7 linked regions of the Xenopus tropicalis genome follow. Each later gene encodes a partner of the first gene's protein in a complex. Links are inferred from orthologs where the notes say so. Each region holds a gene or a part of one and is shown on either strand. Other genes may lie near its edges. The genes, in order: nup98, nup93, cetn3, nup160, ranbp2, nup188 and nup107.

Region 1 (3,500 bases):
CCCTGGGAAAAGTTGAGAATAATATATATTATATTATATTAGATCCGGCACTCAAGCCAATCGGTCACAATAGCCTGGGTGCAGGTCCAGGTGAAGAATTAGATACAGCAGCAAAGAGATCCGCACTCACAGGACTTATAGAATTAATATGGAGTTTATGGTGTAGTCTTCTACACCATATTAATTCTATAAGTCCTGTGAGTTCGGATCTCTTCGCTGCTATCTGTATCATCATCTATAGGATATATCTATCCTATTAGGAAGTTATTCGGGAAGTTGGTCAGGCTTTTCCCATGGAAACCGAGTTTTAAAATGTCTTAATGTAAATGAAAAGAAAATGGAATCATTTGCAAATAGTATGAAGCCAGCAGATCAATTGAATGGAACATGTGAGAACAATAGCAGAGCCTGCTGGAATCTTTGAGGAAAGGACTGTTAGGAAGTAAATGATAGATCTTTAAGGGAGGGGCAGTTATGCTACAGATGTTGCCTTTCGTGTATTTGGACCCAGCTTGGCAGTCGTATAGTTAAATGAAAGTAACTTTTGTCTCTCTCTTCCCCTTCCAGACCCTGTTTGGTAACAAACCTGCTGGTTTCGGGACGACCACGACCAGTGCCCCTGCATTTGGCACTACGACTGGCGGGCTCTTTGGTAACAAACCAACCCTGACTTTAGGAACCAATACAAACACTTCCAATTTTGGTACATATGAGAAAACAAACCTGATGTAATCTCTAACATTACACTGGGTATACCACCTGTCCCGCTGCGCCAGACTAAACGCAGATGGATATCGGGCAGCGCTAGGACTGCACAGACTAACTGCTTAACTAGCAGGAGAATCTCTGTAATCTCCGCCTAATCTCCTATTAGTGCCAAGTGGAATGCTATTGCACCTACTGTCAGTATAATAGGCTATTGCCTTACCTGGCATAATGCATGTCCCTCGCCGTGCCCAGAGCTTTCATCATTCCGTGCAATGGAACAGCTTGGAGTTTGCCAACATAAGCGCTAGTTATTGCCCCAATGTGTGGCGTTCATGCACGGTAATGTTCGGCTTACCCACAATCCTCTGATTTTCTCTGCTGCAGTTCACAGGTTATTGGTGCCTGGCATGGCCACGTGTGCACTATCACTACTAACCTAGTGAAGCCTCCTAGTGTGGTATACACAGTGTATCCGAGCACTTCACCTCTCGCACTCTAAGAGGGAGTTTTATAGCCTTTTCTCTTCTAAATAAACTCGGCAATACAATTATATAGGGTTACATTTCCATTTCTCATTTTGGTATAACTGAACTGTAATTGTCTTTACCTGCATTCTTTTCTTTTACCTGCTTTACTTTCTCCCTAACTCTCTGCCTGAATTTAGGTTTAATGTTTGCATGATCAATGTCTGTTAACTAATTTTGCATTGGGCACCGTGAGTTTGTGTTGCCCTCCAGCGGGAAAGGGGGTCGGAAATTACACAAAAATAAGAATATATGAATGCATTTTGCCTCTAAGAAGGCAATAGCTGATGGAGGCTTCAGGGTATTCTGCCATTGCCCGCTAAGGCTCAGATCTTAGTATCCCACAGAAGTGCCCTGGGGTTCTGGTGATATTGCTCACAATGAGGCTTCTACCCTTAATTGCCACCATTGGGTCCTAGCAGAGGTATTTCAAGCCTGGGTCTGTTCAACAGAGTTAATAATGCAAGCACAACTGCAAGGGGTTAATATGCAGTGAACTTAATGATTGGCCGATGTCCAGTACCCTAAAAGGGTCACTTTTTATCCTGGGGGGGGGCTCTCCCACAGCACTTGGCTTTGCTGATGAAGCTTCAATGTGTTTTTCATCAAAACTCCCCATAATAGGTCATTCCTCTGCCCCATTACCCCCATAGGTCATTCCGCTGCCCCATAATTTTACCCCTGCAGTTATATTGGGAAAAGTGATAGACATTTTAAAACCAGTGCCCTAATCATTGGGCGCTCTGCTGCAAACTCTGCTCCAATCCCTATGCTTGTTGGGCTGATAATTGATCATGTGTAATATATATCCTGTGCTGGTTGTTATGACTATGCCAATGAAAAGGTTTGTCCAGTTATCCCATTACGGTTAGAACGAGGGATGCACCAAATCAATTATTTTGGGCTTTGGGTTGGAGAAAAAAGGGTGGATTGTTTCAATGTTTGTGACAAAAATTCACTTTATTTTAAGGGTGTAGACACACACACACACACACAGAGCTACTAGTAGAGCAGCTACTTGTCGTGACTACTAAACTAGACAATGCTGGTCACTAATAATTGTCCCTATGTGTGTTATAGCAGAGGCAATTCTCAATATTGTCTATAGCAGGGGATTTTCTGGAGTGCAGTAGCCTTGGAAAAAATAGCTGCTACTAGTAGCCCAGTGTGCCTTCACCCTAAGGGTTCTGATTGATTTCATGAACTGGATTTGATGTTCCTAGTTAGAGCCTATGAGATGTACATGTTTCATGGCCCTGCTACACAAGTATTGACTGTTCAACTGAAGATTTGATTTTATTAATGCAGAATAGCAAATACTGAAACACTAAAAGCAGGATTAATATTCTCATTGGGGGCAAAAGTCCGATTTCTCTGTAGAACCTCACCCAGATATGATTCCTTTCTCTCAATTCCAGTAAGTACGTGCAGGGCCCAGAGCGTAACCTTGTCTGGCTTTAGTGCTCCGCTAGGGGAAATGCACTTGTAACTGGCACTAAATGGCTTTGGGATCTGCTGAAATTGGGATATTTATGGGTTTTCCTCTCTACTCTTGGTGATTCACAAATGCCATTTTAGAACTGTAAATGTTTAAAGGAGCTGACCCGTCTATATTTGTCCTAAAGGGTTTGGTTCAAACACAGCAGGAACCAGCCTGTTTGGCAATAAGACAGCAACGGGAACCATCGGGCCGAGCCTTGGGACGGGCTTTGGAACAGGTAAAATTGAAAAATGTTTCTAATATAGTTAGTTAGCAAAAAATCTAGATGGGCAGATGTCTAACATAATGGCCAGAACTGACTAGGGGGCACCACATGGGACAATTCCCATAGAAGGCAATGGGAACAGCTTTGTGTCTGTTGGCACAACATGATTGTGCTGCTTATAAATGTGCTTTTGCCACGGCTTTTCTTGCCAATAGTTGGGTGCATATAGGAAAACTGCAATGTGTGGTTCAAGGAGAGGAATAATTAATTCTTGACTTTTTGTAGCGCTAAACCCCGGGCAGACATCTTTGTTTGGGAGCAACCAGCCGAAGCTGACTGGTACACTTGGTACGGGAGCGTTCGGCAATGCCGGGTTTAACAGTACCTCAGCAGGCCTGGGATTTGGAGCGCCTCAGGCCCCAGTCGGTGAGTGCTGTCTTTTTATAGGAGAAAACTAACCTTTTGAGCACCAGGGCTAATTTACTGTTATCTTTAATTTGCTGTTTTACTTTGCCTTGAACTCTTCTTATTACTTGTGTCTCACAGCAGCCCTGTCTGATCC
Region 2 (3,500 bases), on another chromosome or scaffold:
CCATATCGCCTTATTTCAAATGACCGGAAGCCAACTTTTAGAAGGTATTTTCTAAAAATACTAAATGGTTTGCAGGATAGGGCAATTATTGGGGCAGGGTAGAATAGATTTACTACTTAAAAAATTTTAGTGTTACTTTTCCTTTAATGGAATCTTAGAAATTGCCTGGACTTTCCAATATAATTATATATTATGTCCATAATAATTTGTTAATTCTTCCTTGAACTGAACCACATAAAACACTCTAGATGATTAAATATTACACCTGTAGAATTACAACATCAGGAGTGGTGAAAAGATATTCCAGCACAGTGTTTTCTTCTGTGCTGCACTTCGTTGATTCAAAGAATTTTTTATAGTGTATGAATTTTATTCCTGTAGGTTATCTCCAACAACAGAGAACAAGCTTCGCCTACATTACAGAAGAGCTGTAAGGGCAAGCACTGACCCTTACAAAAGAGTTGTGTACTGCATAATTGGAAGATGTGATGTAACCGATAACCACAGTGAAGTGGCTGATAAGACAGAGGATTACTTGTGGCTAAAGGTGAGTCATGCTTTAATAAGTATTGTCTCTTTAAAAATTCAATATGTAAGCATAATATTCACAGTGCTGTAGGCAACAAAAGTGGCACAGTATAGTGTAGTATTAGTGCTAATACTCAGAGCTACTTACTTGTCACAGCTACAAAAATAGACAATGCTGATAATTTACTAATTGTCTCTACGTGTGATTTAGCAATCATAATGAGACAATTCTCATTATTGTCTATGGCAGGGTATTTTCTGGTGATTTGTAGCCATGACAAGTACCTGCTACTAAGTAGCTCTGTGTGTCTTAGCCCTAAGGCTACTGGTACACAGGGAGATTTGGTGCCCACAGTAAACTGTTCGTTAATCACAAAAGGGCAACTATTACATTTGTATATGTTTCCTGCACAGCAGAATTGGAGTGGATAAACTACTGAGGCCAATAACACATAGTGAGATTTGTTGCCCGTGGTTAAACCTCGGCTGGGGGTGACAAATCTCTCAAATGCTTTCCCACTATCAATAAAGTAAATCGCCAGTGGGAAAGCGTACACAGCACTTTGTTTTCTGAAGTCACCTGAAGTTTCTTTGCAAGCCGTAAGAAAGCATTTGTGGGGGATTTGTCATTTGCGGTATCCCAGATTTAACCGAGGGCAGCAAATCTCCCCATGTGATATTGGCCTCAGTAGTTTGTCTATTCCAGTCCTTTTGTGTGTGTATATTTCTAAGATCGAAGAAACAATAGAGACCACAAACTCATAAAATTGCTGGGTAATAGCAGAAAACCATAGGTTTAGCTTTTAAGTTAAGCTTTGAACAGGGCAATGAGTTCTTATTTTGTAACCCAGTGCTGTCCAACTTGGGGCCGCAGGCTGCATGACCCCCCTCTGTGTGGCCCCCACTTGTCTGGCTGCTTTGATGGCTTACCTTTCTGTAAGCTTTAAATGGTATCAGTACTGTGATTAACTGCCCCCCTGCATTGCTCACACCCCAGATTCAGGCTGTAAACCCCCTGTATTGTTTAAAAATGTAATCCCCTGTGTTGTTCACATTTTTTAATCCTTACATTGTTCACACTGCAGGCTCAGGCTGTAAGCCCCCACATTGTTCACCTGTTCACACCTCAGACAGACTGTAGGAGCAGTAGATGCCCACAAATAAACCCTGCACACTACAAAAAGAACATTTACTGAGGTGGTACTGAAATTAAAAAGTTGTTTTAATATATAGTTAGTGTGCAGACTGTAGGAGCAGTGCCAGCATTGTGTCACTGTATACTGCCTGTGTGTGTCATACTCTGCCCTATGCTGCCTGTGTGTCCCATACACAGGCAGCATAGGGCAGGCAGAGTGTGGCACACACAGGCAGGGTAGGTCAGGCAGAGTATGGCACACAGGCAGCATACATAGGGCAGGCAGAGTATGGCACACAGGCAGGGTAGGGAAGGCAGAGTATGGAACACACAGGCAGGGTAGGGAAGGCAGAGTATAGCACACACAGGCAACATAGGGCAGGCAGAGTATGGCACACAGAGGCACGGTAGGGAAGGCAGAGCATGGCAGGTTTTTGCTGTACTACCAACATTAATATGGGTATGCTCATGTGATAACATGGGTGTGGTTTAAAAAAGGGGGAGTGGTCAAAACTGTCTTCCATTATCGGCCCTCCGCCATGTAGGCCGGAAAAATTCCGGCCCTCGGCACCACAGAAGTTGGACAGCATTGCTGTAACCTGTTTCTTAAATCAATGTAAGTTCCTCATTTGTTCTGTATTAATGTAAAGTGCTGCATAACTTGCTGGTGCTATATAAATAAAGCTGATGATAGATTCATGGAAGAATAGGTATAGAGTACAGAGTATAGAGAATAGGAAGAGTAAAGGCTGAATAGCAGTCTTATGTTTTGGTGGGGAGACACTACAAATTAATATTATGTTTGGTTAAGACTGGTATATATCGTTTTGTCTGTGTATCTGCTGGTATCCCCTGATTTTTTTTCCTCTAATTTTATGAAGCACCTCATTCCATTTTATTGGTTGCTTGCCTGTTTTGGAACCCTTTTAACCTTTCACTCGTAGATTCCAGTGTGCCCAATCACTATGGTTTTCCCTGTGCAGTTGTCAGGTTTTGTTTGAAACCAAACCTATTCATCTTAAAGGTCAAGGATTCCAGTGTTCACAATTTTGTATTTTTTGTCCAGTTAAGTCAGGTTTGTTTTGAAGATGAAGCTAACAGTTCTCCTCAAGACAGGCTGACATTGCCACAGTTTCAAAAGCAGCTATTTGAGGACTACGGTAAGATATTATATATATATATTTATATATGTACACACATACATACACATAAAACGCATGATCTTAATATTATTTATACTTTGTACTTCTAGGTGAATCTCACTTTGCTGTTAATCAACAGCCGTACCTATACTTCCAAGTCCTCTTCCTGACAGCTCAGTTTGAGGCAGCTATTGCTTTTTTGTTTCGTTTGGAACGTACACGTTGTCATGCTGTGCATGTGGCACTTGCTCTGTTTGAGCTGAAATTGCTTCTGAAGTCAACAGGGCAAAGTGCACAGTTATGTAAGTAAATTTGCAAGCATTCACTCAGTGCTTAATGGCTTTTTGTAGTGTATGTTTGAAAAAGTTGGATTTTCTTTGTTTGTGTCACAAACTGCATGGTCCTAAAATCAGGCAACACACATGAACATATTTAGTGAGCCGAAACACTTGCTGTGCATGCAAAGGCCCTAGCAATGCCATCCACACCACTAGTGGGCTTTTTGTGTGGAAGACACATTTCTCAGTGGGGGTCTATTTCTGTCAGGGAGTATAGATTGTTCATCTTCTATGTGTTGTTCAGATCACTAGTATGTTCATTATAATTATTTCTGCAAGTCCCCTTACAACAGAGCATGAAATGGAAGGTTTCTATACTGGACACATGGTTTATATATCAGTCATCACATTATCTCT
Region 3 (4,294 bases), on another chromosome or scaffold:
TTCACTGGGTGGGAATCTGGCTTGTGGCTGTTAAAAGTGATGCATAACTTAGGGTATGTTGCAGTCATGTTTTCCCACTTACCAACTTCATTAAAATCATCAAATGTAATTTTGCCTGTTGTTTCACCATCATAGTCTTTAAGGATTTTTAGGACATCTGCTTTTTTTACATCAAATCCCAGAGCTCGCATTGCTACCTGTAAATAAAATACATGATTATGTATGAAAAAACTCACCCTACTATCACCCTTGCAGGCCGTGTATTTTATTTATTATAAACAAGACCCTTGGTGCTGGCTGTGTTTTATTCTATATATATCTATCTATATATATATATATATATATATATATATATATATATATATATATATATATATATATTTATTACAAAAAAAAAAAAAAGACACCAGCAACACGGAAATTTGTTTAAACCACAAGACCCTTGGTGCTGGCTGTGTTTTATTCTATATATATCTATATATATATATATATATTTATTACAAAAAAAAAAAAAAAAAAAAGACACCAGCAACACGGAAACTGAAATGTACTGTTATATTTGTAATCCCTACTGATAACATCCCCAGCCTGCACCAACCACCTCTCCCCGCTTCCCCTGTATCCCCCAACCACTCTATAAACCTGCCTACTCCTACTCACCCAATCACTGCTTGATCCACCACCTCTGCATCACAACTTGCCCCTTTTTTACATCACAGCTCCTTAAGCCCTCAGACATCATCATGCTGCCACTTTTCCGTCTCGGCTGGTATTGCCCAAGAGAAAAGTTGGCAACCCTATCCCGTTTCCATACAATCAACCATTAACAGAGAGTCAGGCCATTTTAAGTATCATTTAAGGGCTGTGACACACGGGAAACTTCGGCGACATCGGCAAATCGCGCCGCCACGTATGCCATCCCATCGGCAATTTACATTCTAGTCGGTGGGATGGCATTTCGGGGAGATTAGTCGCCCGCGACAAGGAAGATTAATCTCCCCGTGTGTCACAGCCCTAAAACTCATCTTGTCATCAAATTTATAATCTAACCTGCAAACCACTTGGATCCCTAGCTGACACTGTAAAGCAATTACCCACAGCCAGATAAACAGAGAACCTCTACACCCAAACATGCCACCCCCACCTAATGACTCCCTCCTTTAAAGCCCCATGGCATGGATTCAGCTTGGCAGAACACTAAGAACACCAAGTCCAAATCTTGGAAAAAGTTTTATTACCTTTAATTCATGATAATCTATTGCTTTATCTTTGTCTGTATCGAATAATTCAAATGCATCTTTTATTTCCTGTTTCTGTTCTTCTGTTAATTCTCTTCTTTTCTTCTTTTTCGTTTTGTCAACTGCTAGATCAGTCCTGCGAGAGACGTGAGTTACTAACATAAAACATACAAAGCACATAACACTGAAACTGAATTTTCCTGTTACTCTGGCCTGGTGGTGGTTGCACTGTTTAACACTTTGTGTGCTGTGCCCTTTTGATCTTCCTGTTGCCATTAAACACACAGTGCAGCATATTTCAAAACAAATAACAGGCTGTTGCTGCTAGCGCAGTATGTGGCTTTTCAAGTATTACAGAACTACAACCCCCAAGTAGTTACAACTCCTCATCTAGTTAGCTGACATTTCTAAACACTTGGAATACAAGTGGGACAGATGTACTGTGTTCCAACCTGGGAATCTGTTCTAATCTGGGATACAACTAGATATACAAAGTGTTTATATTCAAGGATCTGCACACCTGTAGTAAATACCTGGAATGGTGGTTTTTAGCCTTATTTAGTTTACCTAAATAAGGAATAAGCATTGTACCTAAATCGCACCCTAATTCATATAAACTATTCCTGGCCCATAATTTAGGATAATGTACATTTTTACAGATGAGCCCAAAAATGATTTGTTCACTAGTGAAACACCAACATAAAATCCCAGAGTTGTCTCTAGTGAAAGATCCCTGTCCCCCGGCATAAGTCAGCTGTGATGATGGAACAGAACAGAAACATACAAGAAATGAGAGCATTTCCATATGCAGCTTGCCATACACGTAATGACTTGCCTGTGTGGTCAGGGCAACATTTGCATGGATCCTCCCTTAGTTCAGCCACCCACACAGAGAGCCAAATAGCCAAATGTACCCGTTTACGGTTTTGCATCCAGTCAGGGGCCAACCAGTTACTGTCTTTTTAAGAAAAGCCAAACTGCTCATGTATTGGCACACTTATTCACTCTATGGGCCAATAAAAGTGTATGGAATCCAGTGTAACATCTGTACCAGTTCTGTCTCTGCCGGCCCCCACTCTGATACACACTAATATATATATAATCACTTTATATTTCACTTTCACATTACAAAGGCATTTACACAGACAAGATAAGTTCTGACACAAAGTGCACCAATAAATAGCCCCCTGCTAAGGGAGACTGATGGGTAACAGTTTCAGGGGAAAGGAACACATACATGAGGCTCAGAGCACAAAAGGTAAGTCAAATGGCAAAGGACCTATTTGGCGTTACACTTGTAATTGTTAGTGTATTAATAAAGAATATCCAATCTGCAGCTCGCCAGCTGTTGTTTAACTGCAACTAACCCCATCACCATGTGGCGCTGAGAGTTTCAGTATAACAAAAGCTGGAAGTAGCACAGATAGGACACTGCTATTTTATATAAACCTAACTCTATAGGGGTCCCAGCCTTCCAGCGCTGTGAACCCCCTTTCCTTTGTGCTTCCAATGCACCCACCTCACAGCCAAGCTCATCGCTCCTCCGCTACAGACGCACAGCGCTGCCACACTCCCTCGGTCAGCCGGGGCTGCTGTCCCACTTACAGGCCTAGGCGCCACCTCGTAAACACAAGGCAGCGCCTCCGATTGGCTACCGTTACAACTTCTCCCCTAGCAACGGGATCAGCCTGGCACTAACAGCGCCTTGTGATTGGAGAGCAGTGAGGCGCTTGGGGGAGGTGCCGGAAAAATGAGCTGGTTACTAGGCAGTGACGTAACAAGGCGCTTGGAGTGTGACAAGGAGCGGGAAGCTCAAACTCATGCACAGTGCGAGAGAAATGCAAGCGGCCCCGTAACGCTTGAATAGTACACCTCCCGGCATGCTTCACTACCTTACAGCGAGCTAAAGCATGAAGGGAGCTGCCACCTAACCCACATATCAGGGCTGAATTTTAAAGTAAAAATGATAGAAATATATTTTGATAGTAACCCCATTCCTGTGTAAATCTGGTAACATACTTAGTTTGGATGATTTACTCATACCTTTTAGCAGCAATTCATGCTCCCTAATAGCTTCCACGTTTTTTTATTTTAATTGTGTGGTTGCCAGTTAGTGTAAACTATTCCCTAAAAATGAATATGGCTAGAAATGCCATATTTTATATAAAAAACTGACTGGACTGGCTTAAGGCTAATTTGGAGAGTAGTAGTCAGCACTAAGCCTTGTGATTAGTTAGAAGTAGTGCAGGTTCCCCAATGGCCACTTTCCATCGGCATATCCTGGTACAGAAGAACAGGAACAGCACCTCTTGTCTTTGTAAATTAAAATGCCTTTATTGCAAAGTTTTTTGGGGCAAACAACAACAGCAGCAACGTTTCAGGTCACATAAGACCTAAAGGTTGCTGCTGTTGTTCTTTGCCCCAAAAAACTTTGCAATAAAGGCATTTTAATTTACAAAGACAAGAGGTGCTGTTCCTGTTCTTCTGTACCTGGCTTAAGGCTAATGTCAGACCAGGCCGAATGAATAGAATACGCTCGGGTGCAGGCACATGTAGCCGATACCCATATAAAAACGCAAGAGAATGCAAAGTCTTGCACACGGGCGTATTACATACATTCGGATGCAGGCACAGGTAGTAGGTGTATGGCGGCATTTACGGCATTTTCAGGTTGCCAAAAATATACACCATACGCCTTGTCTGACATTAGCCAAAAGTTTCAGCATCTCTATAGTAGTAATAATATAGGTCTTTACAGTTGTCACAGGAGCTCCCCATTTTGGATTCTGTTAGAACTGTCGGGGGCAGTGCACATGTTCGGTGAGCTCTGAGAGGCAGTTGAGAAGCTGAGCTTAGGGGTCATTGCAAATTATCAAGCAGAAAATGACATATGTCTGTCATATAAGTGGATTCAACAGGGTTAATTATTCAGTTCTGATGCAGTTGCCCTTGTTTCAGATTGCCCTGGTTTTAATACTATATAGAGGAAAAGGAAATCATTTTTAAAAATTTGAATTATTTGCTTATAATGGAGTCTATGGAAGATGGCCTTCCTG
Region 4 (3,500 bases), on another chromosome or scaffold:
AGCAGATTATATTACCGAAGACATGGCATATCAGATGGAGAGTGCGTGCTGCCACCCACAGTCACCAGAGAGAGTTGCAGAGCAGATTTTGGAAGATTTGATAGCCAATGACATGTAAGGAAATAAGAATTGTTATCTGTGCCAGTCGCACATCATCTGTAAAGCCCTGCTTGCTACAGTGTTTTATGGTAGAGCAGCAGTAAGCAGGATATTCCTTGTAGGTTACTATTTCAGCACCAATTTAAAAAAAGCACAACCAAACTGTCCTGATTTAGAAAAAGTGTAACGTGTAAAATTTGATTTAAATTGCTTTATTAGGTAAAATACAGACTGTAAAATATCTGTTTGTTTTTTTATGAACACTAGAGACAACATCATGGAAAATATTCAGAATAAACTGCAGGACATCAGGAATCCAATACAAGCTATTAGTTTCTTGCTTCAAAATATGGATTATGAAACCAACATGGACATGGAACAGTGTAAGTCTGGGTTTCTGCAAAGTTTTGTGTGTTTATAAAAGACTGCATTTTAATGGTGTATTTAATGGGTCTGTTTCAGCGCAACATAATGTGAGACTGAATCTTTCTACTCTTTATGGGAGTGTTACTGCTTCCAGTGTGGTATGTCAAGCCATTTACAAAATCTCTGCCACAAGATTCTTAATATGTCGGGACTTGCTTATTCTTCAGCACCTCTTGCTGAGGCTAGGGGACATGGTGAGTACAATTCCACAGCCATTTAAAAAAACTTAATTGTAAAAACAAAATAGCTTTCTCTTTTTTTATGGTTATATTCTAGATACAGCACTCTGTAAAGTGGCCCACGTCCTCCCGCCAATCTATGCCCCTTTAATACAGGACAGAACCTAATTTCCCATATCACTACTTACTGCCATTGCTTCCTACAGCCAAGTCTACAAGGACTCCTAAGTCCTTCTCCATAATGGATTTGTCTAGTGCAGTCCCATTAAGGGTATAAGAGGCTGCATATTTTTAAATTCCAAATGCATAACCTAACATTTAGCAACATTGAATCTCAGCTGCCACTTAGCCAGATTGCTAGTTGATTTAAGAACTCTAAGAACCCTACTTCAAGAATGTTTCAATGACAACCACTCCCTGTACACAATTCTTTTTCCTGTCTATGTACAAACAACATTACCAAGACCAACAGTTCCCCTGAAACAATGTCACACATATGCACAATGAGCAAGCTGAAACACTCCTCATTATTTGCATGCTTTGAGTCCCAAGATGGCTGCCCCAGCTGGGACCTCTCTCTCTCTGTGAGTGGCATAGCACTCACTACAAGCATTTTTTGCCTAAAATAGTTTCCTCTAGTATGAGTGCAGGGTCCATTAGCCCTCACCTCTGGTGAAAGAAACTTTTTCTTTGAAATATTCTCCTGTACATAAACTATACATAAACTATATTGAAAACCTGTCAGTCATTGGCAATACGTACAAATATTTTAGTTTGTCGTGGATTGGGACAATCCCATTGAAAAGGGGTGTTACATAACCGATCCTTTTTTTTTTTATCTTTTGTTAGGCACTGGTTGGAGCAGGGCAGCTTCTTCATTCTCAGCAGGAACTTATCCCTCGCGCCGCTCAACTGCTTTTGTCCTATTACATGATCCGCTGGGGGAGCCAGTGTTTGGCCTGTGCTGTCCCAGTAGATTTATTGTAAGTTTTTTTTTTGTTTTTTGGGTTTTTTTCCAAGATAAAAATGACAATAATACAGTTTATATAATTTTAGTATTGTGTTTAATCACATCAATTGTTTTCCACTGAGTCATGACAATATATGCAAATCGGATCTATTTGTTGATTCTAAAATAAACACAGAGCGCTATTTGCCTTCCTTATAGAGAGTCCAACCTGCAGCACCTCTCAGTTTTGGAGCTTTCTGATTCTCAAGTAGAGAAGCGCAGATACAGTAAGTATTGATTTCTTGAACTTTTTTATCTTAAAGGAGTCTTTATCTTAAAGTTTTCAGCGCTCTTCATGCATTACAGTTTAATTTTTTTCCCCATTAGCCAGTGGAATCCAGACCATTGTGGAATTGTTTTTTGAAGATGTAGGAAGAAAACATTTCCCTCAAGTTTTTGCCCACCTTTTCATTCAATCTGGTTCAAGTCAGGTGCACAGATCTTTAAACTGGGCCGATCTTATACATCGCATTACCAGCTACCTCCTACAACTTCTGTATCCTTGCCTGTGTGCCATCTGCACTCATTTTACTGTAAAAACAGTAGTTTTACCTTTAGATTGTGTTGGGAGTATGAGGTAGACAGATATTCATAGTGTCATATTATTTTTTGTGGTTATTGAATTATTTACATTTTTTTCCCAGCAGCTCTCCAGTTAGTATGGTCCAGTTTGCCCTCACAACAAGGCAGCAGTTGACATTAGGGGGGCAACAGGGGGCTAGTTCACGTTCCTGGACTGTTGGGGAGTGGACTGTAGTTAGTCCTCAAACTATTGCGTTGGGCGGTGAGACGTGGTGACGTGTGGCAGACAGGTAGTAGCCAGAGGCGAGGACACAGCGGGGGCCGGGTAAATGACCTTGGGGAGCTGTATACGGCCAATGGGCTGTAGTTTGAGGACCCCTGCATTAGAGGATCTTACCGAGCCAATCTTAGGTCCATCCGCAGAGCACTGTGGTGTGGGCGTAACACTTCACATAAGACTTGTGCCCAGGGGCAGGGTGCAAGGTACTAAAAACATGCAGTTTTGTGCTCGTACTTTGCACCCTGTCCTGCTCTTAGTAAGTGAGTCTTCCAATTTTAAGTGTAAGTTTAAATTGTAACCAAAATACCATGCACACAGTGGTTTTATTAGCAATTGATACATAATAAAGTGGAAACTTGCAGGCAGATGTTTATAGCTGTCAGTCATAGCTTTCCATTCAAATAAATGAAGGTTAGAAACAATGTTTTGCTCTGGGCTAAAGGGTAATGTTATTGGACAGTTGTGACCTCACTTTCTGGTTAACTCTGATAGGGTATCTCTCTTGACTGTTCTTTTATTGGCTTTGGTCCTGTTCCTTAACCCCAGCCACATACCAGATGGCCCAGTAACCCTAACTTCCAGTTTGCAGAATGCCTGATGAGAAACTGCCAATACACACAGCTCCAGGTAAAGATGTAGTTTATTCTCCTACACATGACTTTATAAAGTCAATTAAATTATCCTGCAATTTGTTCATTTTTTTTTTCTTGCCCTTTCATCTAGGAATATGTCCGGCTGCTTTTACCATGGTGCCAAGTTAATGTTGGTTCCTGCCATTTCATGTTGGCCCAGTGTTACTTGGTTGCTGGAGAAGGACACAAGGTGAAACTCTGCTAATAACATTCTTATGACAACTCTATTTGTGCATCATACCTATTGGGGTCCAGCTCCATGTGATACAGAGCATAGTATTCCTATTTTCCAGTAGGTGTTAATTTCTCCTTATTATCCACAGGCTTTAGATTGTTTCAGTCAAGCAGCCTCC
Region 5 (2,902 bases), about 68 Mb from region 1:
CATATTAATAACACTGCCAAAACCTGCCGTTTTTTTCTCCGCAATATTGCCAATATACGCCCCTTTCTTTCACAAGTAACTGCTAAAACACTAATACATGCCCTTATCCTTTCCCTCTTAGATTACTGCAATCTCCTACTAACTGGCCTCCCAGACTCCCACCTCTCTCCCCTGCAATCAATTTTAAACTCTGCTGCCAGGATCCTCCTGCTCTCTCCGAAGAGGGAACCTGTTCAGCCTTAATTAAGCTCTCTAGCATGGTTGCCTGTTAAGCAAAGGATAGCTTACAAAATCCTTCTGCTAACATTCAAAGCCCTTCACTCCTCTGCTCCTCTGCTCCTCACTACATTTCTTCACTGGTTTCCCTGCATGTTCCTGGTCTTCTTCTCCGCTCCTCTCAGAGCCTCCGTCTTTTTACACCATTCACACCCACTGTGCTCTCTTCTTAAACCTTTCTATCTCGCTGCTCCTTACCTCTGGAACTCTATCCCTGAATCCCTCCATAGGAAACACTCCCACCCACGCTCAGCTGTTACCTTCTGGAGCACTAAGACCTTATTTTGCCCATACCTGGTGCACTCTTACCTTCCAGTTTGTGCCTGTATGTTACCCAACCACTTAGATTGTAACTCTACGGGGCAGGGACCTCCTTCCTACTGTGTCTCATACCACATGGCACTTATATATATTTATTGTATTTATTTATTATATCACTTGTCCTCCCTGTGTGTAATTTTGTATTCTGTAAGATTGTACAGTGCTGCGTACCCTTGTGGCGCTTTATAAATAAAGTTATACATACAAACAAACAAACAAACAAAGCGACCACTGTTGTGTTTCATAGTAAAGCAATCAGGTACAACAGAGTTTTAAAACCATTCCTAAGCAGTACAAAGCATTACATTCTACTGTAAACCAGCAGTTTTTCTTCATGGCCCCAGAAGGGAACTAGTTATAATTGAATTTACTAACATAGACAATCACAAGCATACACAATATTAAATGAAGGTATAGTTGCCCTGTAATGAATATGTATTGTACAGGTATAGGACCCATTATCCAGAATGCTCGGGACCAAGGGTATTCCGGATAAGGGGTCTTTCCGTAATTTGGATCTCCATACCTTAAGTCTACTAAAAAATCAATAAAACAATAATTAAACCCAATAGGATTGTTTTACATCCAATAAGGATTAATTATATCTTAGTTGGAATCAATTACAAGGTACTGTTTTATTTCTACATAGAAAAAGGAAATCCGTTTTAAAATTCTGAATTATTTGATTAAAATGGAGTCTATGGGAGACGGGCATTCTGTAATTCGGAGCTTTCTGGATAACGGGTTTCCGGATAAGGGGTCCGATACCTGTACTAGTGCACTTCCACTTAAACATGTAAACACAGTATTACATTGTGTTTTTAGGAGAACCTAAAACATTTTTCTTTTGAGTCTAGCCCTTTCAGGATTATAGACTTTGAAAATAAGCTCATTGGCAGTAAAGGGAAATTAATTGTCTATAATATAGGCTGGCATGTTACGCTTTTTATGTAAAAGCCATAGCACCCCACAGCAGCAAAAAGCGGCTTAAAGAATAGAAACCAACCCCTACCAACGGTACCACCAAATCCCATATTTTAACAATTAAGGTATAGGACAAGGATTCTTTTAACTCTTCAAGAGAAGATGTTGCAGTGGGTACTGTAAGTAATATATTACTATCCGATAGACTTGCAGTACAACTTGTTGATGCTGTGGGGAGTAGTGGCATAAAAGTATAGGAATTGTGTGAGAAAGGAGAAGTTGTCAGAGATGTAGCTTCAGTGATCAGGAGTGGCAGTTGTCTGCACATAAATGCAAAATGTGGGAGAGGGACATGATGTAAAAATGATGAGGAATTTGGGTTTTTTAATTACGTGTTTATCATTTGTTTTTAATTATTCCAGGGAGTTCCAGAAAAAGATGTAAATAGTTCCTATGAAGCTCCAATAGTGTGTGCAGCTAAAACCAGTGTCTCCCTGCCCCCAAAACAAGAGCCTGATTCCACTACAATCATTTCCCAGGAGCCTGTAGACTTGTCCTCAAAACAGGAGCTACCCAAAACAGACTCCACCAGCAAAGGTATTCCTACACAGTGATGTGGATTTGTTTAGATCTTGACATACTGTATATTCAGTTTATGAATCCAGTATTTAAGAAGCTTGTGTAAGTCGACAATGCATTGGTCCGATATACAATAGCAATAATATACATGGCTTTAATAAAGAATTTGAATTCTCTTTTTAATAAAGCAAGCCCAAAGTTTCATACAAGTAAATGTAATGTATATATTTTATTATAGTAGTTTTATATACTGTAATGGAAATATCACTTGGCTGTATTTGAAAGTTTTCTTTATTTTCACAGGATTTTCTGCTTCTAGTTTCTCCTTTGGGCTTGGTACAGTTTCCGGAGTGTCATTTGCAGATTTAGCATCGGAAAATTCTGGGGATTATGCCTTTGGTTCTAAAGGTAAAGTTAAATAGTTTCTTACAAACTAATATATGACAAGGGGCACAGAGCAGTTTTGGACATTTTGTTCTCAACCTCCCTTCATGCTAAAACACACTCTTAGAAAACCTGAAGTTATCCTTACTGTTGCTCATTTTTTTTTTTTATTTATTACTTATAGACATCAGAAGAGCAAAAATTCAATAAGTGGCATGATGGTTGCTCTGTTTATGGGGTACTGTTGATTGTTGGCTTAAATGCAGATGTCCTCAAAACAACTGAGGGTATTTTATTACCAGACAAAAGATGCAGAAATAGAATGCAAGAAAATACACTGTTATCTGAAAGCTGATCACATATTTTGACATTAATATGTTGCTTCTTGCTTTTGTAGATACCAGCTTCCAGTGGGCCA
Region 6 (4,089 bases), on another chromosome or scaffold:
CTTTCTTCTGCAAGTGCCGATATGCTAACTGAATCTCAATGTACAAATGGCCACTTCTTTGGTTTGCATGATCTTTGTACATACAGTCATTGGTCACACCTACAAACAAAACATTCCATATGTAAGTTACAAAGACACCCCTCCATTTCAATCCTTCCCAGCAATCTTTTCTGCTGCCCTGGGCAGGTGCTTGCAATTAGCGATTATAATTACTGGGGGGGTGGGGGTGCCTAACAAATTACTCTCCAACCCAATGATTTACCCTTTATTTATTATACAAGTCAGCCACCTTAGATCAAATGCAGTGGGAATATAAGTTGAGTGCTTGGGGCTTCTGGATGTGAATGCCCAGTGTGTGACCCAATGCATTCTCTTCTGGACAGTCAGAACACACCTGCACCATATTCTAACTTTGATCCAAATGTTTTCACTGGATGATCGAGAAAATCATATCATAATATAAAATAAGTCAGTGCAGCAAGACCCATCAACCAACCAGAGATAAACTTAGATATTCTTCTTTCCTTCAGAGGAATAGTCCACGTTAATGGCTGATTGGTTGCTATGGGATACTGCACTGAGCAAACCAGCCCATGGATTATTATAAATAGAAAGAGAATACACTTGAGGGATCAAATAGAAATATTTTGTTTATAGTTAAATAAGGCCCATTCCACCATACAGGTCCCAGAATCAGCAATCCCCATGGCTACACAGGACTCCTTTCAAACGAAACACCCTTTTTATACCAGAACAGGGTAAAAACGAACATATTGATTAAATACATCATTTATTAGGGTCTAGTGCCCATTAACCAGAATGGAGGAGAACTATATCTACTAATGTAACATGGGTTGTAACACCACATTCAGATCATTGTATGCTACAGACAGTTTATAATGTTAAACCAATAAATAGGATTTTTTCCTTTCAATTGCATTAGCGGAAGCCTTCTTGCTCCTTGGGACGAGGGCAGCAGTAATGCATTAGGGGAAGTGCCCTCCAAACAATGAGTCAGTCTATTAACTCATAACAACACAACAAAAGCCTCCGGGCAGCAGAACACCATACGGGGTATATGGGCAATATATGGGCAAGGCAGCAGTGACACAGGGTTAGGGCGAAGGTGAAAGATCTTTGTGCAGCTTCCATTCTCTCACCTACCTTGGCCGCCACCATCTTTAGTCCGGGCGGAGGAGCACTAGTGCAGTCACCCAATCAGCTGACTTCCGCCAGGGCAGGAGCATCACGTGATATACGCACCGCGCTGCTGGAGAAGTGGGGGGGGGGCTTGGGCTCGTCACGTGTGAGGCCGTGAAGGGGGCGTGAAGATGGCGGCGGCCGGGTGTCTGTACCGGAGGTACCGGGGAGAGGAGGGTTTTGGAAGGGGATGTGAATTCCGAGCGACACTGGAAGCTGCAGCGGCAGCATATATAGAATTTAAAGGGAGAAGGGAGGGAAGTTGGTTCCCAGGGGACAGAGGGAAGTCAGTGCGAGTGAGTCAGTCCATGTGGGAAGCAACAGGGAATAGGAATATTGCTGGGCAGCCCGGCGCTATATGGGGAGAGCTTTATATGGCCATGTGGTTATATGAATGGAAATATCCGGCACTGACATTAGAAGAGCGGTTAGAAACTTTCTCAGGGCTAACCGGACTGTACCATTTTCTCTCTGACAGGGGCACATGCTTCAGATGAAAGCAAGCCGTGTTGTGCCGTTCGGAGACCTGGATTAATCACTGTATAAGTCATTTGCAAAAGCAAAATGATAGTGTTTTCTCCTGGACTTGGTCCCCTGGACAGGGCAGAGACTCTCCTGGTCCCCTGTCTGGCTGGCTGCGGGCAAGGCAGAGAGTTGCCCCCCTGTCTGGCTGCGGGCAAGGCAGAGAGTTGCCCCCCTGTCTGGCTGCGGGCAAGGCAGAGAGTTGCCCCCCTGTCTGGCTGCGGGCAAGGCAGAGAGTTGCCCCCCTGTCTGGCTGCGGGCAAGGCAGAGAGTTGCCCCCCTGTCTGGCTGCGGACAAGGCAGAGAGTTGCCCCCCTGTCTGGCTGCGGACAAGGCAGAGAGTTGCCCCCCTGTCTGGCTGGGGGCAGGGCAGAGTTGCCCCCCCTGTCTGGCTGCGGACAAGGCAGAGAGTTGCCCCCCTGTCTGGCTGCGGGCAAGGCAGAGTTGCCCCCCTGTCTGGCTGGGGGCAGGGCAGAGTTGCCCCCCTGTCTGGCTGGGGGCAGGGCAGAGTTGCCCCCCTGTCTGGCTGGGGGCAGGGCAGAGTTGCCCCCCTGCCTGGCTGGGGGCAGGGCAGAGTTGCCCCCCTGTCTGGCTGCGGACAAGGCAGAGAGTTGCCCCCCTGTCTGGCTGCGGGCAAGGCAGAGAGTTGCCCCCCTGTCTGGCTGCGGGCAAGGCAGAGAGTTGCCCCCCTGTCTGGCTGCGGACAAGGCAGAGAGTTGCCCCCCTGTCTGGCTGCGGACAAGGCAGAGAGTTGCCCCCCTGTCTGGCTGTGGACAAGGCAGAGAGTTGCCCCCCTGTCTGGCTGGGGGCAGGGCAGAGTTGCCCCCCCTGTCTGGCTGTGGACAAGGCAGAGAGTTGCCCCCCTGTCTGGCTGCGGGCAAGGCAGAGTTGCCCCCCTGTCTGGCTGGGGGCAGGGCAGAGTTGCCCCCCTGTCTGGCTGGGGGCAGGGCAGAGTTGCCCCCCTGCCTGGCTGGGGGCAGGGCAGAGTTGCCCCCCTGCCTGGCTGGGGGCAGGGCAGAGTTGCCCCCCTGCCTGGCTGGGGGCAGGGCAGAGTTGCCCCCCTGCCTGGCTGGGGGCAGGGCAGAGTTGCCCCCCTGCCTGGCTGGGGGCAGGGCAGAGTTGCCCCCCTGCCTGGCTGGGGGCAGGGCAGAGTTGCCCCGCTGTCTGGCTGATGTAGCAGTTGTTTCATAGTTGGGATCTTGGTTGACTTATTACCAGTCATGGGCCAAGGTTCTACCCTGATATATCTTGTATTATTCTCTTTATTCCACCCATGTACAAAAACCATGTGCTTGTTTGTGTTGACAGGACCAGCCGAGAGTTATGGACCATTCTGCTTGGACGCTCTTCCATGAAAGATGGGGTAAGTGCCAGCTTCTTTGCCTTTCAAGTGCATCTATTTTTGCAGGTTCTTTATGTGTACGCCCATACATGCATGTATTCCTCTGCTTTACAGGAGAGAGTTAGGAGCATCTATAAGTTGAGAGTAAATTATCATTATGGCATTTCTCAAGCGAGAGGGATTATGGCAGCAAAGCTCATATGCTGAGCCTTCCTGAGTAGCTTGATGTGGAGATTGGGAATTATAAAAATGCTTAATTTGGTTATAGCGGAATATTTCGGAATTAGGGAGAGAATGTGATTCCTGTAGCAGAGATAATGACATTAGCCCTCGGGGAGTCAGTAGGTTGTGCAGAAATAGGAAGCCGTTGTCGGTCCACCATTTGAAGGATATGTCATTTATCCCTGGGACAAAGTCTGGGTTTCCAATCAAGAGTTGTATGTGGATGCATGAAGTATGAGAGATTAGCTTATGTTTTACAAAAGATCAAAGACGAAGATGGAATTTGATTATAGGATTTGTGATATTATACTTTTGTGTGTTCACATGATTTGCCCATAACAAAGAAAAGAGCTTAAGAGGGTATATGCGTGCATTTTCAAATTCAACCCATCTAAGGGGGCTATGTGTGTGGTGCCATTGAATAAGCTGGGCGACTCTAGCTGTTTGTAAGTTCGGGACTTTTCAGACCGCCCTGTTTATATAATTGGTAGAGAATGTTTTTATTTATTCTATGAGATTTGTTACCACAAATGAAATTCCAGCCAGTTCTTTGTAGGTGAGATAGCTTTGCTGTGCCAATATAGATGGGAAGGGCTCTGGAAGCATATAACAATTTAGGCAAGAAAACCATTTGGGTGGCTGCAATCCGGCCTAGCCAGGAAATTGCATATTTAGACCAGTTCTCTAATAACTTACTAAGGGGCCAGAAAAGAGAGGAAAAATTGGCATTGTATAACGTGATGTATGACTTTGTAATCTTGACTCCTAGGTAGTTTACGGAGTTCTGAATTGCTCATGCTTTT
Region 7 (4,221 bases), on another chromosome or scaffold:
TTCAGTCCCTTCCCCAAGAGTTCCCCTCAGGTAGCACTACCTGCCCCAGAGTACCTTCCCCTATGGAAAGGTTGCTGCTCCCACGTAGCAGGCAAGCAAGCAATAACTGTTCTCACCAGGGGACACACACTGATTCCACAGAGGACTTTGTAATCACTGGCAACCCTGCAGACTCTTCTCTTTTCAATCTGAACTAACAACAAGTGGTACTGGCTGCTCACTCTGTATCTCTCTTCCCAAAAAAACCAGCAAAACAACAGGGGCTCCCTTTATCAACTGCTGGACCCGCCCCTTGATTTTTGGCTCCAAACTTAAGCACACCTCCTCCCAGACTGCACTGGGACATCCAGCCAATCGAGTTCTCTGATCCCCTACACATGAATGCTACAGGTACTGCTTTTGCCAACTCCTGGTCTGGGATCTCTTACCCCCTGCCCCTGATGCTCCACCCCCACAAAGTCTGCACACCTTGCGCGCAGCACTTCCCCCCCTTCACAATGTCCACGTGCATTCATTCACAGATGGGGTTGCAGCGGGGGTGAGGTGGTCGGCCAGGTTGCCTAAAGGTGGCAATACAATTATGCAATTATGCTATTTCCTGCGACCACTTTCATTCAAAGCTGAATTGTCAGATATGGAGGTATCCAATCTACCGATTCAGCCTTTAACGTAGATTTTGCAGCCTTTGGGTTATTAGTTTATAAGGTTATTAGTCTCATCAATCGCCAGCTTAAAGCTTGGCCTGCCTCTAAGTCTTCTACTAAATCAGCCCTTAGTTTGCACAAAACCACCAGAACCCTCAAAGTACAAAAAAACCCCTAAAAACATGACCTCATTTCACTTGGCCCTAGTTTTCACAATAACTCTTCCCTTTTTGGTCAGACTGGGAGAAAAGGTTCTGACGGCAGCCGGTACCGTTAGCAACCAGGAAACTCTTTTTTAGCTCCCTGGCAATGACAAGGATCTCTGAGCAGAAAAGATAATTGACTTGGAGGAAATATTGAGATTCGAGGTGGAGGAGAGCAATCACCTCCTAAGAAGAGTCTTTTTTTTCCCTTTTTGTTCTCCAACAAAAGTAGGAAGTGCGAGCAGAACAAATCCAAGCTACTTATTAGCAGCTACCAATTGTGTAACGCCGCCTTACTGGGTAGCGCACTGTCTCTGCTCGTCACTCCCATAAGGCGGCTACGTGATGCGTCACGACGCTTGCGTGTAGTTGTACGTCACAGTCTCGCGTGAGGAGACATGTGGAGTCGGGATTTTCTGTAAGACAGGAGGCTAGGAGCTTGCAATTAACAGCTTTACGGGAGGAGTAAGTAGCAAAGGTGTAAGTAGCAATCTGCGGCTGCTGGCTGTGTTACGAAAATCGGGATCGACAAGCGGGACTGTTGGGTAGTATTCAGTTAGGGGTTAGTCAGGGTCCCTGCTGTCAGTACGCTGCACACTTTGAATGGGAGGGCGGGAGCTTACGGTACCTACATGTTCTCTCTCTGCAGCTTTCGGTACTTCTGGCTTATTCACAGAAGTTTTAGTCCCGTTCTATTGAGTAGACTGAAGGACTGTTCTCCCTCTAGCCTGTATGTATCGGTCTGCTAGACTTTTCTGTTACATGTTTGCAACCTTGTGTGCATCATAGCGGGACTTTCTCACAGAATACACATCGAACATAGGAAGGACTGACCCCGTGTTGTGCTCTCTTGCAGCAGGACCAGCATGGATATGCTTTCGCCGGTAGTGCGGGAGGCAGAGGTTTCTAGAGCAGCTCGCCGCCAAAGCTCCAACAGGAGGAATCCTGGTATCCTTTTGTAATGTGAACTATCATCACAAATCACTGGTGTCCCCAATAATATCAAACGGGAAGGCTTTTGATCAAACAAAAATGACATTGGAAGTTAACAGAAATTTTTGGTTGTCATTTATCTATTACTATAATTTCTTTGTGATTAGTGTTTATGTTTTGCATGTCATTTTTTTCTAAAATCAATGGAAGGGCCCCTCCTTTATTGAGTCCCCTTTGTTTTAAATGGTTAAGGCTTCATTTTTAAATCTGTGTTGATTAAATGTGATAGTATATTTAAGTTTGCAGTGTCTGAGTATTACTCTAATTAAGGAAATAACCCATCGTAGGAGTAGGTTGGGTGGGTTTTTATTAATATTAACAGGCTGTTTATGGACCACAGATGTTTGATAGCAGTACCTGCACCAAAAACACAGTAATAGGCCTTTTATTGTCTTTGATGGGTTAATTTAATAAATGCGTCTTGTCTTGTAATCCATAGGAGCCAATCAGCATGTAGCACTTACTGCTATGGGTTAATATGTGTGACCAAACTTAAGCCTTTATTACATTATCCTACATGTCTCTAAAGCAAATAACATGGTTAACCCTGTCTCTTAGGCATTCCCCGTCATGACTCCCTGACTTTTTGCCTTACATGAATGCAACAGAACCAGTATTGCACTTTTTTGTTCTTTTTTTGTTCTGAGGCTATGCATGGGCAATGCAATTACAGTGTAATAAGAAACGCAAACAACAATAATGATTAGTTACTTTAAGCTGGAAAGTCGGCTAATATTTTCCCGGTGCTTGCTTGTTTCCCTGGTACTGTTTAGAGAGGAAATATTGAACTGATTCCAGAAAAAGCTTTTGTTGCCACACTTAACGTCTTGCCTAGCTGATGAGAGCTGGAGCAATGCAACACCAGCAAGAGGCCCATTATCTCGCACAACAGGACAAACACTATTTCGACAGCACAGTAAGATGTTTATATATAAACTGGGTCTGCAGTTGATAATCATGGGCTTGTTTGATTCATCTTGTAGAAACTGTCCCACTGACTTGTGTTTTACAAATATCAGCATTCAGTCATGGTTATTATAAAATTCAGATGAGTTTGTATAGTAACCTGCTTGTGTAGACATTTTGGTTAAGGGCATTCTTGCTGTTTTGCCATTTCTTGATGATGATATTCCTATTCCTGTCTTGTGCTTCCTGTTAAGCTGAGAGCAGGCCAAATCTACCTGCCATGTTCTAATAAATATACCAAAAGTTCCAGTGTGTATCTGACTACTTTACCTGAACTAACACAGCCGCAGTATTAACCCACTGCTAGCCAGCAGTTTATTACAGTGGGGGCGAGGATGAGATTTATAATGCTGAGAGAGGGTCTCTCGAACTACAGCTCTGACAAAATCCTTAAGCCATATCTTGAAAAGAGAGATGAGCTTTCCATAGATCAAGGTTGTTTACTGTGGGGGATACGGGTTGTCATTCCCCCTAAAATATCGTCAGAGGCTCTTGCATGAACTTCACGAAGGCCATCCAGGTGTAAACAGGATGAAAGCACAAGCTTGTGGTTACCTGTGGTGGCCAGGCCTGGATCAAGATATAGAATTTTTTGTAAGTCAGTGTACTGCTTGTGCTTCTGTAACACGAGCTCGTGCTTTCATCCTGTTTACACCTGGATGGCCTTCGTGAAGTTCATGCAAGAGCCTCTGACGATATTTTGGGGGAATGACAACCCGTATCCCCCACAGTAAACAACCCTTATCTATGGAAAGCTCATCTCTCTTTTCAAAATATGGCTTAAGGATTTTGTCAGAGCTGCAGTTTATTACAGTTTGGATATAAGAAAAAAGTAATACTGAACATAGTATTTATGCTGTGAAAGTCTTTTTTTTTTTTTTTTGCTTTCTGGTATGTAAATGTACTTTTCACCTTTACCTAGTGACGCCACAAACCTGGAATTCTTCAAGGCCACCAGATGTTTCGGCAATACTGGGCACTGTAGGGCGATCACCTCGCTTGGTACAGACTCCTGGGCGTTTGGCAAACATGTCTATGGTAAGACAATCCATTCTACAGAAGGCATTAAGGCGGCACAACACAGGCAGATTTCAGCTGCCGATTCAGGTCCTTAAGGCCTTAGGGGCAGCTTATCTGCCCGTGTATGGGAACCCCCGACAAGCCTAGCCAACTGACATCTGGCCTAAAATTGTGCAGATTCCGACAGGTTTGATTTTTCCATTGGATGAACAAGCCGATGCGGTCCTCGGTCCGACGGCACTGTCTAATTGGCCCAATATTGCCCACCTAAGGTGGGTAATTGGAAGAAGATCCGCTCTTTTGGTGACCTTGCCAAACCAGTGAATCTTACAGTGTATGGCCACCTTTAGTCTTCAGTTTCTCTTTCATGTGATTTATCCTATACGTATTTTGTG

What was found.
Region 2: nup98 (region 1) and nup93 share a complex: the UniProt entries of both Homo sapiens proteins name them as parts of the nuclear pore complex. The link is inferred for Xenopus tropicalis from reciprocal best matches to the Homo sapiens genes NUP98 and NUP93.
Region 3: nup98 (region 1) and cetn3 share a complex: the UniProt entries of both Homo sapiens proteins name them as parts of the nuclear pore complex. The link is inferred for Xenopus tropicalis from reciprocal best matches to the Homo sapiens genes NUP98 and CETN3.
Region 4: nup98 (region 1) and nup160 share a complex: the UniProt entries of both Homo sapiens proteins name them as parts of the nuclear pore complex. The link is inferred for Xenopus tropicalis from reciprocal best matches to the Homo sapiens genes NUP98 and NUP160.
Region 5: nup98 (region 1) and ranbp2 share a complex: the UniProt entries of both Homo sapiens proteins name them as parts of the nuclear pore complex. The link is inferred for Xenopus tropicalis from reciprocal best matches to the Homo sapiens genes NUP98 and RANBP2.
Region 6: nup98 (region 1) and nup188 share a complex: the UniProt entries of both Homo sapiens proteins name them as parts of the nuclear pore complex. The link is inferred for Xenopus tropicalis from reciprocal best matches to the Homo sapiens genes NUP98 and NUP188.
Region 7: nup98 (region 1) and nup107 share a complex: the UniProt entries of both Homo sapiens proteins name them as parts of the nuclear pore complex. The link is inferred for Xenopus tropicalis from reciprocal best matches to the Homo sapiens genes NUP98 and NUP107.

What each region holds. Positions count from the first base shown.
Region 1 is NC_030678.2:177,452,780-177,456,279, reverse strand, and holds part of nup98 (nuclear pore complex protein Nup98-Nup96), read left to right. Parts: intron 1-567; coding exon 568-652; coding exon of another isoform or gene 653-703; intron 704-2,857; coding exon 2,858-2,950; intron 2,951-3,223; coding exon 3,224-3,364; intron 3,365-3,484; coding exon 3,485-3,500. UniProt on the Homo sapiens protein: Plays a role in the nuclear pore complex (NPC) assembly and/or maintenance. NUP98 and NUP96 are involved in the bidirectional transport across the NPC. May anchor NUP153 and TPR to the NPC.
Region 2 is NC_030680.2:43,632,648-43,636,147, forward strand, and holds part of nup93 (nuclear pore complex protein Nup93), read left to right. Parts: intron 1-381; coding exon 382-547; intron 548-2,729; coding exon 2,730-2,823; intron 2,824-2,915; coding exon 2,916-3,107; intron 3,108-3,500. UniProt on the Homo sapiens protein: Plays a role in the nuclear pore complex (NPC) assembly and/or maintenance. May anchor nucleoporins, but not NUP153 and TPR, to the NPC. During renal development, regulates podocyte migration and proliferation through SMAD4 signaling.
Region 3 is NC_030677.2:178,970,795-178,975,088, reverse strand, and holds the start of cetn3 (centrin-3), read right to left. Parts: upstream 2,801-4,294; 5' UTR 2,775-2,800; coding exon 2,758-2,774; intron 1,375-2,757; coding exon 1,239-1,374; intron 198-1,238; coding exon 83-197; intron 1-82. UniProt on the Homo sapiens protein: Plays a fundamental role in microtubule-organizing center structure and function. As a component of the TREX-2 complex, involved in the export of mRNAs to the cytoplasm through the nuclear pores.
Region 4 is NC_030680.2:15,991,165-15,994,664, forward strand, and holds part of nup160 (nuclear pore complex protein Nup160), read left to right. Parts: coding exon 1-114; intron 115-366; coding exon 367-482; intron 483-561; coding exon 562-719; intron 720-1,553; coding exon 1,554-1,687; intron 1,688-1,872; coding exon 1,873-1,940; intron 1,941-2,040; coding exon 2,041-2,209; intron 2,210-3,072; coding exon 3,073-3,142; intron 3,143-3,238; coding exon 3,239-3,337; intron 3,338-3,470; coding exon 3,471-3,500. UniProt on the Homo sapiens protein: Functions as a component of the nuclear pore complex (NPC). Involved in poly(A)+ RNA transport.
Region 5 is NC_030678.2:109,274,624-109,277,525, reverse strand, and holds part of ranbp2 (ranBP2-like and GRIP domain-containing protein 4), read left to right. Parts: intron 1-1,943; coding exon 1,944-2,118; intron 2,119-2,403; coding exon 2,404-2,508; intron 2,509-2,881; coding exon 2,882-2,902. UniProt on the Homo sapiens protein: E3 SUMO-protein ligase which facilitates SUMO1 and SUMO2 conjugation by UBE2I. Involved in transport factor (Ran-GTP, karyopherin)-mediated protein import via the F-G repeat-containing domain which acts as a docking site for substrates.
Region 6 is NC_030684.2:22,851,539-22,855,627, reverse strand, and holds the start of nup188 (nucleoporin NUP188 homolog), read left to right. Parts: upstream 1-1,289; 5' UTR 1,290-1,331; coding exon 1,332-1,360; intron 1,361-3,030; coding exon 3,031-3,085; intron 3,086-4,089. UniProt on the Homo sapiens protein: Component of the nuclear pore complex (NPC), a complex required for the trafficking across the nuclear envelope. Required for proper protein transport into the nucleus.
Region 7 is NC_030679.2:58,822,412-58,826,632, forward strand, and holds the start of nup107 (nuclear pore complex protein Nup107), read left to right. Parts: upstream 1-1,421; 5' UTR 1,422-1,479; coding exon 1,480-1,577; intron 1,578-1,703; coding exon 1,704-1,795; intron 1,796-2,675; coding exon 2,676-2,756; intron 2,757-3,728; coding exon 3,729-3,844; intron 3,845-4,221. UniProt on the Homo sapiens protein: Plays a role in the nuclear pore complex (NPC) assembly and/or maintenance. Required for the assembly of peripheral proteins into the NPC. May anchor NUP62 to the NPC. Involved in nephrogenesis.